4 linked regions of the Cricetulus griseus genome follow. The protein of the gene in region 4 binds, or shares a complex with, the protein of the main gene of each other region. Links are inferred from orthologs where the notes say so. Each region holds a gene or a part of one and is shown on either strand. Other genes may lie near its edges.

Evidence for each region.
Region 1: Hnrnph2 (region 4) and Srsf1 share a complex: the UniProt entries of both Homo sapiens proteins name them as parts of the ribonucleoprotein complex. The link is inferred for Cricetulus griseus from reciprocal best matches to the Homo sapiens genes HNRNPH2 and SRSF1.
Region 2: Hnrnph2 (region 4) and Ddx5 share a complex: the UniProt entries of both Homo sapiens proteins name them as parts of the ribonucleoprotein complex. The link is inferred for Cricetulus griseus from reciprocal best matches to the Homo sapiens genes HNRNPH2 and DDX5.
Region 3: Hnrnph2 (region 4) and Pa2g4 share a complex: the UniProt entries of both Homo sapiens proteins name them as parts of the ribonucleoprotein complex. The link is inferred for Cricetulus griseus from reciprocal best matches to the Homo sapiens genes HNRNPH2 and PA2G4.

What each region holds. Positions count from the first base shown.
Region 1 is NC_048600.1:101,233,286-101,237,538, reverse strand, and holds the start of Srsf1 (serine/arginine-rich splicing factor 1), read right to left. Parts: upstream 2,834-4,253; 5' UTR 2,365-2,833; coding exon 2,171-2,364; intron 1,719-2,170; coding exon 1,534-1,718; intron 1,125-1,533; coding exon 952-1,124; intron 752-951; coding exon 557-751; 3' UTR 1-556. UniProt on the Homo sapiens protein: Plays a role in preventing exon skipping, ensuring the accuracy of splicing and regulating alternative splicing.
Region 2 is NC_048600.1:119,726,954-119,729,565, forward strand, and holds the end of Ddx5 (probable ATP-dependent RNA helicase DDX5), read right to left. Parts: exon of another isoform or gene 1,659-2,612; coding exon 1,434-1,658; intron 1,242-1,433; coding exon 835-1,241; 3' UTR 531-834; downstream 1-530. UniProt on the Homo sapiens protein: Involved in the alternative regulation of pre-mRNA splicing; its RNA helicase activity is necessary for increasing tau exon 10 inclusion and occurs in a RBM4-dependent manner. Binds to the tau pre-mRNA in the stem-loop region downstream of exon 10.
Region 3 is NW_023276806.1:129,347,044-129,349,704, reverse strand, and holds the end of Pa2g4 (proliferation-associated protein 2G4), read right to left. Parts: coding exon 2,643-2,661; intron 2,562-2,642; coding exon 2,428-2,561; intron 1,866-2,427; coding exon 1,771-1,865; intron 1,687-1,770; coding exon 1,559-1,686; intron 1,426-1,558; coding exon 1,372-1,425; intron 1,241-1,371; coding exon 1,175-1,240; 3' UTR 563-1,174; downstream 1-562. UniProt on the Homo sapiens protein: May play a role in a ERBB3-regulated signal transduction pathway. Seems be involved in growth regulation. Acts a corepressor of the androgen receptor (AR) and is regulated by the ERBB3 ligand neuregulin-1/heregulin (HRG).
Region 4 is NC_048604.1:45,490,549-45,494,449, forward strand, and holds the end of Hnrnph2 (heterogeneous nuclear ribonucleoprotein H2), read right to left. Parts: intron 3,844-3,901; 5' UTR 3,752-3,843; intron 3,691-3,751; exon of another isoform or gene 3,590-3,690; intron 2,725-3,589; 5' UTR 2,672-2,724; coding exon 1,322-2,671; 3' UTR 531-1,321; downstream 1-530. UniProt on the Homo sapiens protein: This protein is a component of the heterogeneous nuclear ribonucleoprotein (hnRNP) complexes which provide the substrate for the processing events that pre-mRNAs undergo before becoming functional, translatable mRNAs in the cytoplasm. Binds poly(RG).

The sequences.
Region 1 (4,253 bases), on a different chromosome or scaffold from region 4:
CCCTTGTCTTTTAGTATAAGGTCAATACTGCCAATTTCATCTGTGACAATAGCACTTGGAGTCATACCATTGCCTCCATTATTGATCTGATCCTCCTCAATCCTCCTTTTGACAATCCTAAAATGATTGAAATGTGCTCCACAATCCTTAATCCAAAGCATTCTTAATCCATCTCTTCAGATATGTCTACAGAAAGACACATGAAAAGCAAGATAAACATAAGAACTTCCCCAAGTAAGATAACCACAAACACCCCCAACATCCCATTTCACACAAACCAGAGCAGAATAGACATTTACACAATATCACAGTCTGAAGAGCATGGAAATTAACTAAATTTAAACAATCCTGTCTATGACATCACTTAAAATACAATTTACCAAAGACATGAGGGGAATGTAGATGTTAGGAGCAAGGGGATATTACACAAGAATGCAATTCAACACTTTAGCCCATTCTGAACAAAACAGCTTGAATTAAAAAAAATGAAAAGATTGTACTGAGTAAAGGAAAACTGTATACAACATGGGTTCTACAAAAAGTGTCACCAATCATCTTATGTACGAGAGCGAGATCTGCTATGACGGGGAGAATAGCGTGGTGATCCTCTGCTTCTCCTTGGGGAGTAACTGCGACTCCTGCTGTTGCTTCTGCTACGGCTTCTGCTACGACTACGGCTTCGAGATCGAGATCTTCCATAACTTGGACTTCTGGGCCCATCAACTTTAACCCGGATGTAGGCAGTTTCTCCCTATTGGATAGACAGAACTTTCCATTGAAAGATCTAAGCTTTCACCTGTCTTCAGACATGCTGAATGAATACAAAGACAGACAGACCAGGTCTCTGGTAATTTACTTGGACACCTTTGCCTGTATCCTTACCTTCAAATTCCACTGTTAAGAACACTGTATCCAATTCTGGCCAAATAAAAGAATAAATGTATAACCTACCTCATGAGATCTAAACTTAGTGTTATCCAGTTTTCGAACTGCATACGTCATATCTTCTTTCCGTACAAACTCCACGACACCAGTGCCATCTCGGTAAACATCAGCATAACATACATCACCTGCTTCACGCATGTGATCCTTTAAATCCTGCCAGCTTCCACTCGGAGGCAGTCCTGAAAAAGTGATTTCCCCCTACTTAATGCTAATCACCCAGTTCCACATCAAACTGGTGCAACGTACATCAGAACAAGGATTATTTTAAAATACTGAATGATTGTACTTAAGTGTTTCCAGGTAAAGAGCTGGTAAGAGTCTGAGATCCACAGTCCAAACTTATTTGTAAAGGATCTTCATAGGCTAGCACTGCAACCTAATTTGGGTAAATCACCGCCACAGTAATCTTCGTTTACTAAATTCACCCCCAAGACCGAAGCAGTTTAAAAGGAAAAAAAAGGAAAAAAAAAAAAAAAAAAGCAAAGCAAAGCAAAACAAAAAATAAGACCAAACACCAAAACTTGGGAGTTGTCAAACCAGTCTCGCGGGAAAAGGATTTTCTTAAAACCCCACACGGAGTCAACTCACCAGAGACAACCACTCTGTTTTCAGAGCGCCTGGATGGCGGGCCATAGCGGCCTCTCGGAGCTCCGCCGCCTCCACCCCCGCCGCCGCCTCGGCCGGTGCCGCGGCCGCTTCGAGGAAACTCTACCCGCAGACGGTAGCCGTCGTAATCGTAGCCGTCGCGACCGTACACCGCATCTTCCGCGTCTCTGCGTGATCACAGAAAGCAAAGGGGATGAGGCCAGGGACAGCGGCCGGCCGGCCGGCCGGCCGGGCTCACGCAAGCCACTCGGGAAGCCGCGGACGGCGCACATGCGCACCCACGGCGCCGGAGCCCACATGCGCTGCATAATAGGAGCGGCCCCTCCCCCACCCACAAACACGCCGGGCGGACTCCCGACCACCACGCCAGCCCTCGGCGCCTCAGTTTCCCGCTCCCGGGCCGCGCATGGGCTCTGGGGACGTCCGAGGCGGCCAGCCACCGGAGACAACACGCCGACTCGGCTCCTTTACTCGACTCCTGCAGGGGCGATAGCGCCTCGCTCCCAGCCTCGGAGCCCCTCCTTCCCTCCCCCCCCCATTATGTCCAGGCCTCAGACAGAGCCTTCCCCCAACTACTCCAGCCTATCTCCTCAAGGCCGCAAGCCCCACGCTGCCTCACCGCGGGTCCTCGAACTCAACGAAGGCGAAGGGCGGTCCCCCGCGGCGGTTCTTCAGGTCGATGTCGCGGATAGCGCCGTATTTGTAAAACACGTCCTCAATGTCCTTGGTTCGGATGTCTGGAGGTAGGTTACCCACGTAGATGCGGCAGTCGTTGTTGCCTGCCGGGCCCCGAATCACACCACCTCCTGACATGGCGGCGAGGGAAAAAAAAAAAGCGCGGACTCGAGAAGAGGCCTTCCCACCAAGCCTAGCGTACGGCAGAGCGAGCCCTCAGCGGCACCACGTCTCCCGCGGCCCGTCCAAAATGGCGCCTTTATCAGCCCGGCGCACTGATATGGGGGGGAGGGGGAGGAAGGGAAGCCAGAGGAAGCGGCTATTCCGTCCCCAGTACGCACGCGCACGAGCGTAACGGGTGCTGAGAGGCACGCTCGCGCACGCGCTACGTCACCCTCCGCACGGAGGGGAAAAAGTCCCTCGCGTCCTGCTGCTGGTGGAACGCCTGGTTCAGCGAGGCGGCCAGACGTGTGGTTGAAAACGGTGTACGCTGGTGAAAGGGGGTTGTTGGTCCCGGCTGAGTCAAGGATAGTATGTCTCCCCTCAGGAGAGAACCCTCTTTTAAAAGCCACTCGGCGCTTTGAAAGGATTTGGTGACAACAGCCCACAACCGTGTCCCACCATGCTCCGCGGCGGTAACGGCCTTTGGCGGGAAAGGCGCCGGGGGGCGGAGCCAGATGACGCTGAGCTGTTGCTCCGGAAACCTGGGCATCTTCGGAGCCGGCGGAGTTGCAGGTGATTGGTTTAAGAGCGTGGGCGGAGCTGTGTCCTGTGCTTCTACGAACCTGCGTTTTTTTGGTGGGCTGCGTTTTGTAGGCAGTTAGGAACCCTCCACACCTCTGCGAACCAACCGCGCCTTCAGTTTTTTCTCTTCCTCCTTTCAAAGGATGGGGAAAGAAAAAAAATAATAAAATAGATGCGAGGACTGTAACTACTAGAGACAACGGTTGCATCTCACATTGTTTGAAATCAGGATATTTATATTGGATACTACGACTTTTAACTCCTTTGTAATCACGGGAATGGAATTTAGGGCCTTATGTGTGAAATCATGCAGGTTTTCAGTCTTGTTAATGAATTCGAACTGGAATAAAAGCAAAACCAAGCTGAACTTGGTGACTTGTGGCCTCAATTTCGTCAGTCCGGAAACTGAGGCAGGAGGATTCTATGCTAGTCTGTGATACACAGTTCTAGATCAGCCGGGGCCATGTAGGGAAACCCTTTAGATTTTTTTTTAAATTTATTTTTTGTGCATTGATATTTTGACATGGGTACTGGGTTCCCTGGAACTGAAATTACAGACAGTTATGAGTGCTTGGAATTGAACCTAAGTCACTGAGCCATCTCTCCGGCCCCGGGAAACCCTTTAAATTAAAAAATTGGGAAAAATAAAGCCAAAGCCTTTTGTAGTTATTATTTTTGTATTTTTCACACAGGATTTCTCTATCTTTCCCTGACTGTCTTGGATCTCACTCCTTAGACCAGGCTGGCCTGGATTTCAGATCCACCTGCCTCTGCCTCCTGGGTGCTGGGGGATTAAAGACATCGACCGCCCTCTTCAGGCTAAAACCAGAGCCTTTCATATTCAAAGTAAACATAAAATAGCCAGAAGAGGCAAGCGCATGCCTTTAATCCCAGCACTTGGGAGGCAGGGGCAGGCGGATCTCTGAGTTCGAGACCAGCCTGGTCTACACGAGCTAGTTCCAGGACAGCCTTCAAAGCCAGAAACCCTACCTCAAACAAACAAACAATAGCCAGAGGTGGTGGCACGCCTTTAAATCCCATCATTGTGGTAAACAGAACCTTTTAGTTCAAGGCCAGCCAGAGCTACAGAGACCCTGACTCAAAATAAATGAGCTAAATCAGACCCCCACCGATTTTAAGGGTGTTTTCTGCACTATTACTTTTAGTTTTTAATTTCCTTTCTTTTTGTTTTGTTTTTCAAGACAGGGTTTTTCTGTGTAGCTCTGGCTGTCCTGGAACTTGATCTGTAGACCAGGCTGGCCATGAACTCACAAAGATCTGCC
Region 2 (2,612 bases), on a different chromosome or scaffold from region 4:
GTTAATTTTGAGGTTTTCTTCCTTGTGTTGGGAGTACTGACTAGCCTACAATCTGAAGACCTTTAAAATGCCCTGAAACAATGTGGAGACATTCCTGACTGCCAGTGTGGCTCTAGGAACCCTGGTGAATGGGTGATGACTAGATTACTTTGTGTGTAAGCTGCACCAAGGACACAGCGCACAGTTCTTGGGCTAACAGTCTTTCAACTTTGTGCATTTTGGTCCAGAATAAAGTATGCCAGCACTTTTTGCAAAATAGAACAGTCACCATGTTATCCCTGATGCTGAAAGCTACTAACAAATTTATAAAAAAAACCCACTGCCCCTCAATTCTTAGAGATAGATCATCTTAAGGGCCTTCTTGATTCTCTCACCTCCTAAATCCTAAATCAAAGAATGGCAAGTAGTCAACTTTAGTTTTTGTGTAAAAAGAAAACACCAAAATGAAAGAAAATCCCCCCGAAACATACTATCTAAGCCAAGTTTTACATGACATCATATATGTAAAATAAAGTACAATTTCCACTTAATTCAGTCTTCAAATATCTTTTATTGGAAGGCCATGCATTGCCTTCATTTATTGTATTTGAAATCACTGTACAGTTACTTTTGTGAAAACACTGCCTGCATTTTCTAGTACAAAAAAAACCTAAAAATTGTTTCAGGAATGTAGAGAAATATCCAACTTAAATAGCGAAAAAAGTGCACCATAATCACTGCTGCACTGCAGTCATTTCTGCATTTCCCATGTTTCTTAAATAACTATCTTGTCTGATAACACACAATATAAAGAGCAATTATGAAAAACAGACATTTACATATACTTCTAAAGTCTTATTGAGAATACCCTGTTGGCATTGGATAGCCAATCATAGGCGCAGCAGCTGCGGTAGCAGGATATGCATATGCCTGTTGGTTCATACCATTGTGCATATTTGCAACATTACTTCCATATTGCTGAGTGCTATCATAACCGTTCTGGTAAGTCCCTGTTGGATTACCAGTCCTAAAACTGGTCTGAATACCAGCAGATACAAAATTACTTCCAAAGCTCCCATTGGTGTAATTTGCAGCACTGTAAACACCATTCTGAGTTTTAGCCCCAAAATCTCTCTTAAGCAGACTAGAGTAACCTCTGTCATAATTTTCCCTGTCTCTAAAGGTATTAAATCCACCCCTTTTGCCCGCAGAGTATCTGTCACGACGATCATCCTTCATGCCTCCTCTACCCCTGGAACGACCTGTCAAGAAAGCAAGCGAGAATGTATCAAATCTATGGCATAAATGTGCTAGAGTTAGGTAGCTCTACTCATGGCAGCCGAAGTGTTCTTTCAGATCTTAGGTTTCAACATAAACTACTTACCCCACCAATCCCACTTAAAAAAGACTTTGTAGACAATGAGGTGACCCCAACTACCTGTAAGATCTCTTACCTGAACCTCTGTCTTCGACCAACTGAAGCAATTTGGGATTAATTGCTTGATTAGCCTCCCGAAGCACAGAGATAAGGTCGCTCACTTGCTTTATGTTATTAGGTGTAAAGAAAGTGTATGCTGTGCCCGTTTTGGTACTGCGAGCAGTTCTTCCAATTCGATGAATATAATCCTCTGAGGAGTTAGGGTAGTCATAATTGATGACAAATTTCACATCTTCCACATCTGTAAGGTGTTGCAGTGTGGCAAAATAGCAATGTACGGAGTTTTGCACACCACAACAGCCAGACCAAAAATAAAAAGTTAGACAATTGTATTCCCAAGAAGGTACGGGCTGCAAAAAATACAGTTAAAATGGTTATCCATTTCCTGTAGGAATACCATTGAGGTAGGAAAAAAAAGAGGGTGGGGGCAGAAAAAAGAAAAAAAAAGCACATGTCAGCTGTATTAAGTTATCACCCGCCCATTGACAGCCTATCAAGGGAATGTGTATTCTCCTTAGCACATTCCCAAATTGGCAAAGTCCCCTTACAGATCATCAAGTGACATCTGAGTGCTTCTGCGCAGTAGGGCCACTTAAAAGTTTCACAGCAACCTCTTCATGTGCTCATTTTTGAGGACCTTTAAGAAAAATGTACAAGGTCCTTTGCATCACACTCATCAGAAGTTCAAAATTCTGGCCACACTGCTTGTCTTGCCAAGACCTTACAACTGCAGCTGCAAGAAAAACATACCTGTCCCCCAAAAGTTGTTTTAATGCACTGTGTCTCGTCTAGGCAAGCGCTTCCAAGAAGCCAGGATTCACTTGAGAATGTGTCTCTCTCTGGCAGGTCTCGACATGACGACTACTGTGTAGGTGAGGGAGGAACTTTTTCAAGGCACTTTCTTTTCCCACTGACTATGTGTGAGAAGTTGACCCTGCTGCTCTAGGTCTCATGTGCCAGTACTCACCAATTTGTAAAAGGCTTAGTACCTTTTAAAGCTGCTCTCTCCATTTCAAACTTGAACAAAAATTTCATTGAACATTGAAGTTTGGAAATATTTCTTCGACATTTCAGCAAACTCACTGAAACTCAAAGACCCACAGATCACAGTGAACAGTTTGAAACAATGCTGTACCATGGCAATCATGCAAAGCATGGGACAGATGAAATACCACGGCAGTGAACTGTGAGGTAA
Region 3 (2,661 bases), on a different chromosome or scaffold from region 4:
TACATTATAAGCAAATCCAAATTTATTTTAATGCCATGTCAATTCAAAAACCGCTTAAGTTAGTGGGAGCCTTGGTTCCCTGGGACAGCATGCCAGAGGTACAAATTGTAACCTTTTCTCTACAAATCCCCAGGAGCCATCCAAGTCCACAATCTGAAAGTCAGTTCTCTTCAGTCTACTCCTCTGGTTCCTGGTTTTTCTTTCTTGGGAGGGAACTCAAAATATTTCAAACAGGAAGCGGGCGTGGTGGCGCACGCCTTTGGTTCCAGTGCTCATGAAGCAGAGGCAAGTGGATCTCCAAGTTTGAGGCCAGCCTGGGCTACATAGTTCCAGGATAGCCAGAGCTACATAGTGAGACTCTGTCTCAAACCAAAAAAATAGGAAGAAGAAAAAAAAAATCAAATCTGGAACAAAAAACTCACAGTGGGATTTTCAATGTAGGTTCTAAGGTGGACCCTGAGGAAAACCCACTGGTTTTCGGGAGAGGGGAGACGGAAGGAACAAAACCAACAACATGGTGGGGATGACGACTGCTTTACAACTGAAAACTGAAGAACAAAAATGACTAATGAGAGATAAGAATCTTTTAATGGAGACTTCAGTATCTAAAATGGGAAGGGTCTAACCAGGTACCCTTTATCATGAAGGATCTGCCACAGGTGAGTAAAAAATACAACCGGTCCTCCTCCTTGAAGGCAGATTAAATACCCAGTGACAGTGGGAAACAGAAAAGCCCCCAAAAGAATGAGAAAAATGACATCAGTGACATAAAAAGTTTCAGCTGAGGTTTTAGTGGTGGTGGCTAACTTAGCCTCCTTTGTTCTGTTGTAGAGCCACAAACCTTGACCAAGCAGAGTAGAAAAGGCCAGAAAGAGGGGGCTTGAAGACGATGGGTTTTGACTCCTGATTTTATTATTCAATTTCTTTTTCTACTGAAAGTAGTCTTCAGTGGCTGGCCGGGAAGCCTGGCCTCCCAAGACCAGAGTCAGTTGGAGCTGGTTTTTTGTTGGAAAGAGTGGGTGGGCGAATGTGTGTGGGAACTGGGTGGGGCAGAAGACCCCGCTCACTCTGCTGGTGGTCTTGGGTGGAGAAGACGAACTGCACTTCACAGAGCCTGGGGTGCGGTGGGAAGGGGATGAGGCAGGAATGGCAAGCTGGGGATACGGGACCCACCTCAGTCCCCAGCTTCATTCTCTTCTAATGTTTCTCCACTGGTGGCATTCTCTGCAGTCTTGGAGGCCTACATTCCAAAACAAGACATCAATTCCCAACTTCTTTGGCACTAACTCCCAAAGTATCTATCCTGAAGCAGAGAAGGGTGGGCTCATTCCCCACCACTATCAGAAAGATTCCCACCAGATCATCACACACCTTCTTTTTCTTCTTTTTCTGGGTTTTTCGACTTGCAGAACTCTGGAGAAGAGCCTAGAAGACAGGAAGAAGGCAAACCCTGAGAAACGTGGGATAGATAAAGCATTTCTCCTGCTTTGCAATTCCTTTCGGGACTTTCACAGGTACCTAGGTGCCCCATGTTCACCATTTCCTACCCAACACTAACCTTTAGCTCTGCATCCTGGACTTCCATGTCAGACTTGTAGAGGTCAGGCTCAAAGGGACCACTGGTTATCCGCATGGGGCCATTGGGCATGAGTAGGACTGTAAATTTAAACTGGGCAACAAATTCACCTACGGGAAAACAAGTCCCAGTCACACTTTTTTTCTGAAGTTAAAGGGAGGGGACTCTAAAATGAAACCCTTCTTAGGACTCACCCTCCTTCTCATAGAGAACATTAAATGGCTGTAGTAACTCATGTTTGGCACACTCTACTACACCCATTCGAGCCTTCTTCTCATCTTCAAATGCTCTGGGAAGAGACAACATTCAGGTCTCCTTAATGACCCCATATTGTTAAGACTTATTTTTATTAGTGTGACTGCAGGTATGATAGGGGCTGGAGGGCAGGGCATGGGTGTGCAGGCCAGAGGACAACTTTTGAAGTTGGTTTACCCTTCTACTACTGCATAGGTTTCACGGGCTGAACTTGGGTCTTGCACAGCTCTTGACCTGCGACTGCACAAGCAACTGGTCCTGTTGTTTTCAATTTCTTGCTTAGTGCAGCTCAGGCTAACTTAAAACTCTTCTGCCTCAGCCTCTGGAGTGTTGCATCACAAGCATTTGCCACCACACTTAGTCAAGCATGCTCTTAAATCACCTCTATCCTCATGCAGAAACTGTCTGGGGTTGCTCTTGTATATTATATCCAGTAAGGAGATGGGCAGGACAGAGGACATGCATTCAGGCAAGAGCTACAAGTCTGGGCAGGAGAGAGAGGGGGAGGGAGGGAGGGCCAAGGGAAGGGAGGATGCTTCTGGGTGTACACACTGAGTCAGACTGGTTCCCAGTCCTGTTCTTGCTATATGCAGTACCTTAAAGTAAATGGCATGGCATCAAAACGCCTTTCCACCTCACTGAAAAAGGCACGTGAAGTTTTCATTTTCAGGCCGTATTGTTTAGAGGGGTCTCGTTTGTAAATGGTGGTTCTCTGTCCTGCATCTTTGGCCTAAGAGAGTTAAGTTAGGTCAAATATGGTCTGTTGAACACACCTTCAAGTTATCCCTTTTGCTAACTATGGAATTCTTACCTTGCCTTCTCCTGAGCTG
Region 4 (3,901 bases):
CGGGGATCACTGGAACTTACTGACTGCCAGCCTAGCTGCAGGCTCAGTGAGAGACCTGTTATCAGGACAATATGGCAGAGAGCAATAGAACAGGGTACCCAATGTTTTTCTCTGGCTTCTACCAACACTCATTTACATGTGTGTACACATTCATTTGAACACACACACACACACACACACACACACACACACACAAAACAAATAAATAAATAAATAAATCCAAATTTAGGCTTTGGATGTCGCCCTGTTGGTATAGTGGCTGTCTTGCATGCAAGAAGGTGTGGGTTTGCTCCCCACCAAGGCATAAACTGGAAACAGTGCCACATGACTGAAATTCCAATACTTAGGAGGTAGAGGCAGGAGGAGCAGAATTTAAAGGTCATTCACAGCCTGGAATATTAGAGACCTTGTCTCAAAAAAAAGGAAACTGAAAATTTGCATTCCCACTGCAGAGAACTTTTAAAAAGTTAGTTACCATGTGCCCATGTAACAGAACATGATTTAAGAAAAATCAAACTATACAAGATTTGTCCAGTTTTTAAAAGGAAGATTTATTTAACAAGTTTCACTTAGTACAATACATCTAAATGGAATTCACAATACAAGGTAAGATTTAAATCAAAGCCTCAGAATTCCATACAAACAACATGACCAAACTCCTAAAGTATTGGTACTACATCTCAAAATTATCCCAGATCTTTTTAAAAAAAAAAAAAGTGAAAGTGTACACTCACGTGCCTTACAGGATATTAAACCAAAAAGCTAGAATTAACAAACATGCCAAATGTTGTCACTTTGAATCATAGACACAGCTCCTATATTTGATTTTTACAGAAAAGCATGTTTCTCAACATGCATCTGAAGGCTTTGATGTATTGTGGTATAAGAGCAACATTTAACGTAAGTGAAACTGCTTTAAACCTAAATATGCTTACTGCTTAAGTACACTCCTACAACATAACTAACTTGAGGAAAGCTGAAAGTGGATTTAACAGTTATGGTCAATACTGAACTTGTTATTACATCCTAGATGAATATTTCAGTGTTCAAAACTGCTGAGCTTAAAGTTTGAAAACAATCTTAACTTTTACTTTACAGTAAGCATGAATCACAAGCTTGTAATGCAAAACTGTTAAACTTAAATTTTGTTCTTAAAAAAAGGAGAAAAAAAAAAGAAAGAAAGCTGACCGATAGTGATCAGAAGCAACTTTATTTCCCATTTACCAATCATACTGGATATGCTTGGTATCCTTCCTACTCTATCCAGTTCCTATAAATGCACAGCTTTTATTCCTGGAGCTGTTTGGTGTTCCTTCTTTCCCTAAGCAAGGTTTGACTGATAGTCACTTGAGTTTTCCTGAAGAACTTGGTCATATCCACTCATACTGCTCTGACCACCATAACCACCACCATAACCACCACTCAGCTGCTGGCTGGCAGGACCTCCATAACTAGACTGGTTAGATAAACCCATCCCTCCCATCATCTGGCTGCCATAAGCACCACCGCTTGCCCCTGCTGTAGAATTCAAAAACAGTTCTACGTAGCTATGATCGTAAGCTCCTCCACTTGTCCCTGCAGTAGAATTCAAGAAGAGCTCCACATATCTATGCTGCATATTAGCTTTATCTTTTGCCATAGCTGCCACAGCATCTTCATGAGTAGCAAACTCGACATCTGCCTCACCTGTAACTCTGCCATCGGGTCCTATTTCAATGTGTACTCTCATGGGATTAAGAGGTGAGAAAAAATTGTAAATATCATTCTCAGTGGCTCTGTATGGTAACCCCCTCATGTGTACACAGTGCCCTGTGGTGCTCTGGAAACTGGACCCACCATCTCCATATCTATGATCAGACATTCCTGAGAAACAGTAGTTTAGGTCTCTCCCAAATCTATCAGACCCAAAGCCATACCCGTCATTATAGCCTCCATAGTCATCATAGCCTCCATAGCCTCCACCATAGGCACCCCGCCTCATTCTTTCAAATCCAGCTCCTCTACCAATGCTATTATACCCTCTTCCAGCCCCTGGCCTATCATAAGGACCCGGGCGCTGCATAGTCATAAGCTTTCGAGGGGGATCATAGTGAGTTCGGACTTCAGCTCTGCTACTCTTGAAGATTTCAATGTACCTGTGCCCTATTCTTTCCTTGTGTTTCTTTAAGGCCTTTTCAGCTATCTCCTGTGAAGCAAACTGCACGAAAGCCTCCCCTGTGCTTCTCCCCTGAAAGTCCACTGGCAGTGTCATCCCATTTGGCACAATTTCCAACCCTGAAAAGAACTGAACAATTTCTTCCTTGCTACAGCCAAATGGGAGTCCTCTAAGCCGTACAAAACCATCATTGGCAGTATCAGGACTATTTGGACCTGTATGCTTTAACACCCAATCCATTTCAACACTGTTGGACTTGAATACTTCAACATATCTGTGTCCCATGGTTTCTCTGTCTTTCTTTAAAGCCAATTTTACTTCATCTTCAGATTCAAGTTCGACAAATGCTTCACCACTTGGTCTGCCTTCTCTGGTGTAGATGAAACGAACACCTGATGTACCATTTTGGATTTTGCAATCAGAGAAGAAGCGCATCACTTCCTCAGCTGAGCAGGACCAGGGTAGGCCCCTGACCTTCACCACGAACCCCTCCCTGCCCTCTGTGCTCAGCATCATGGTGACTGTTGGGCTCTTGGTGGCAAGCTTGGCTCAACGCAATTTCAATGTGGCTTTAAAAAAATTAGAAAACTATTGTCATGAAAAATTATACACAATAAGAGAAACAAAGAAAACTATTATTATAGAAGTTCACATCAGTTACTTTTTAAAAAGATAGCCACATTAACAAAAAGACTGCATAAAACTTAATTCACTCACTTAACAATTACTCATTCCATTTCTATTATGTATCAGGTATAATTAATAATGATTATTTCTGGGTAGCAGTACAATAGGACTTGTTTCCATGAACATATACATGGAAAATATTAAGACATTTTTTGAATATTTTAAATTTTCTGCACTGGCCCAATGCATTAACATCATAGAGAAAATTAAAATTAAAAATAAATAAAATATAACTATATCTCATTATATAAAAATCAAAAATTTCTTTAAATCAAAAGACAAAATTCATAAGATACAAGTCCATTAATATCCCAAGAATATAAACAATGCATGCAAATCAGTAAAATACAGAACTATTAATGCCTAAGAGATAAATGGGAAAAAAAACATTGAAAACATTAATGGGACTTTACATATGCAAGCATGCTTTAGATGTCAGGTCTAGTACTCATTCTGACATGTAAGAATCAATGAGTCCAGAAAGGGCTTACAGTCCTACAGGAGAACTGTATGCCTTTACCAAAGGAAAGTGCAAACAGATAAAATAAAGGAAGGACTGATTGATGAAGTGTTATCAATTGGAGGCAGAATGGTTAATTGACACAAACTATTCTGATCCTGTTCAGGGATCCAGAAACAGTTTATAAAAATGTTTAATGGAGCACGAAATGGAAGGGGACAAAAAGCAAAGGACAGGGCTGTCAAAAAGAGATGAGATCCTGAGGGTCTGATTTAATAGGAGGCTAGACTCTTCTCTGGTTCACAAGCATGATGATTCAGTATTCACAACACTGTGTGACATGTGCCTCCCCCAAACCTTAAGACATTGGGACTTTACCGTTCTGATGCTGGGTGTGGAGAGGGGAATATATATATATATATATACATACATATCTATATATATAGCACCTTTTACGGATCTTAAACAGGAGTGATGTCATTACAGCCCTTTCAGACTTATCACCCAGGCAACTGGAGCATTCAAACAGAAGGAAGGGGGACTGGATGAAAAGAGCAAAAGAGCAAATTAAAGAATGACCTCTTAGAGATATGACAAGA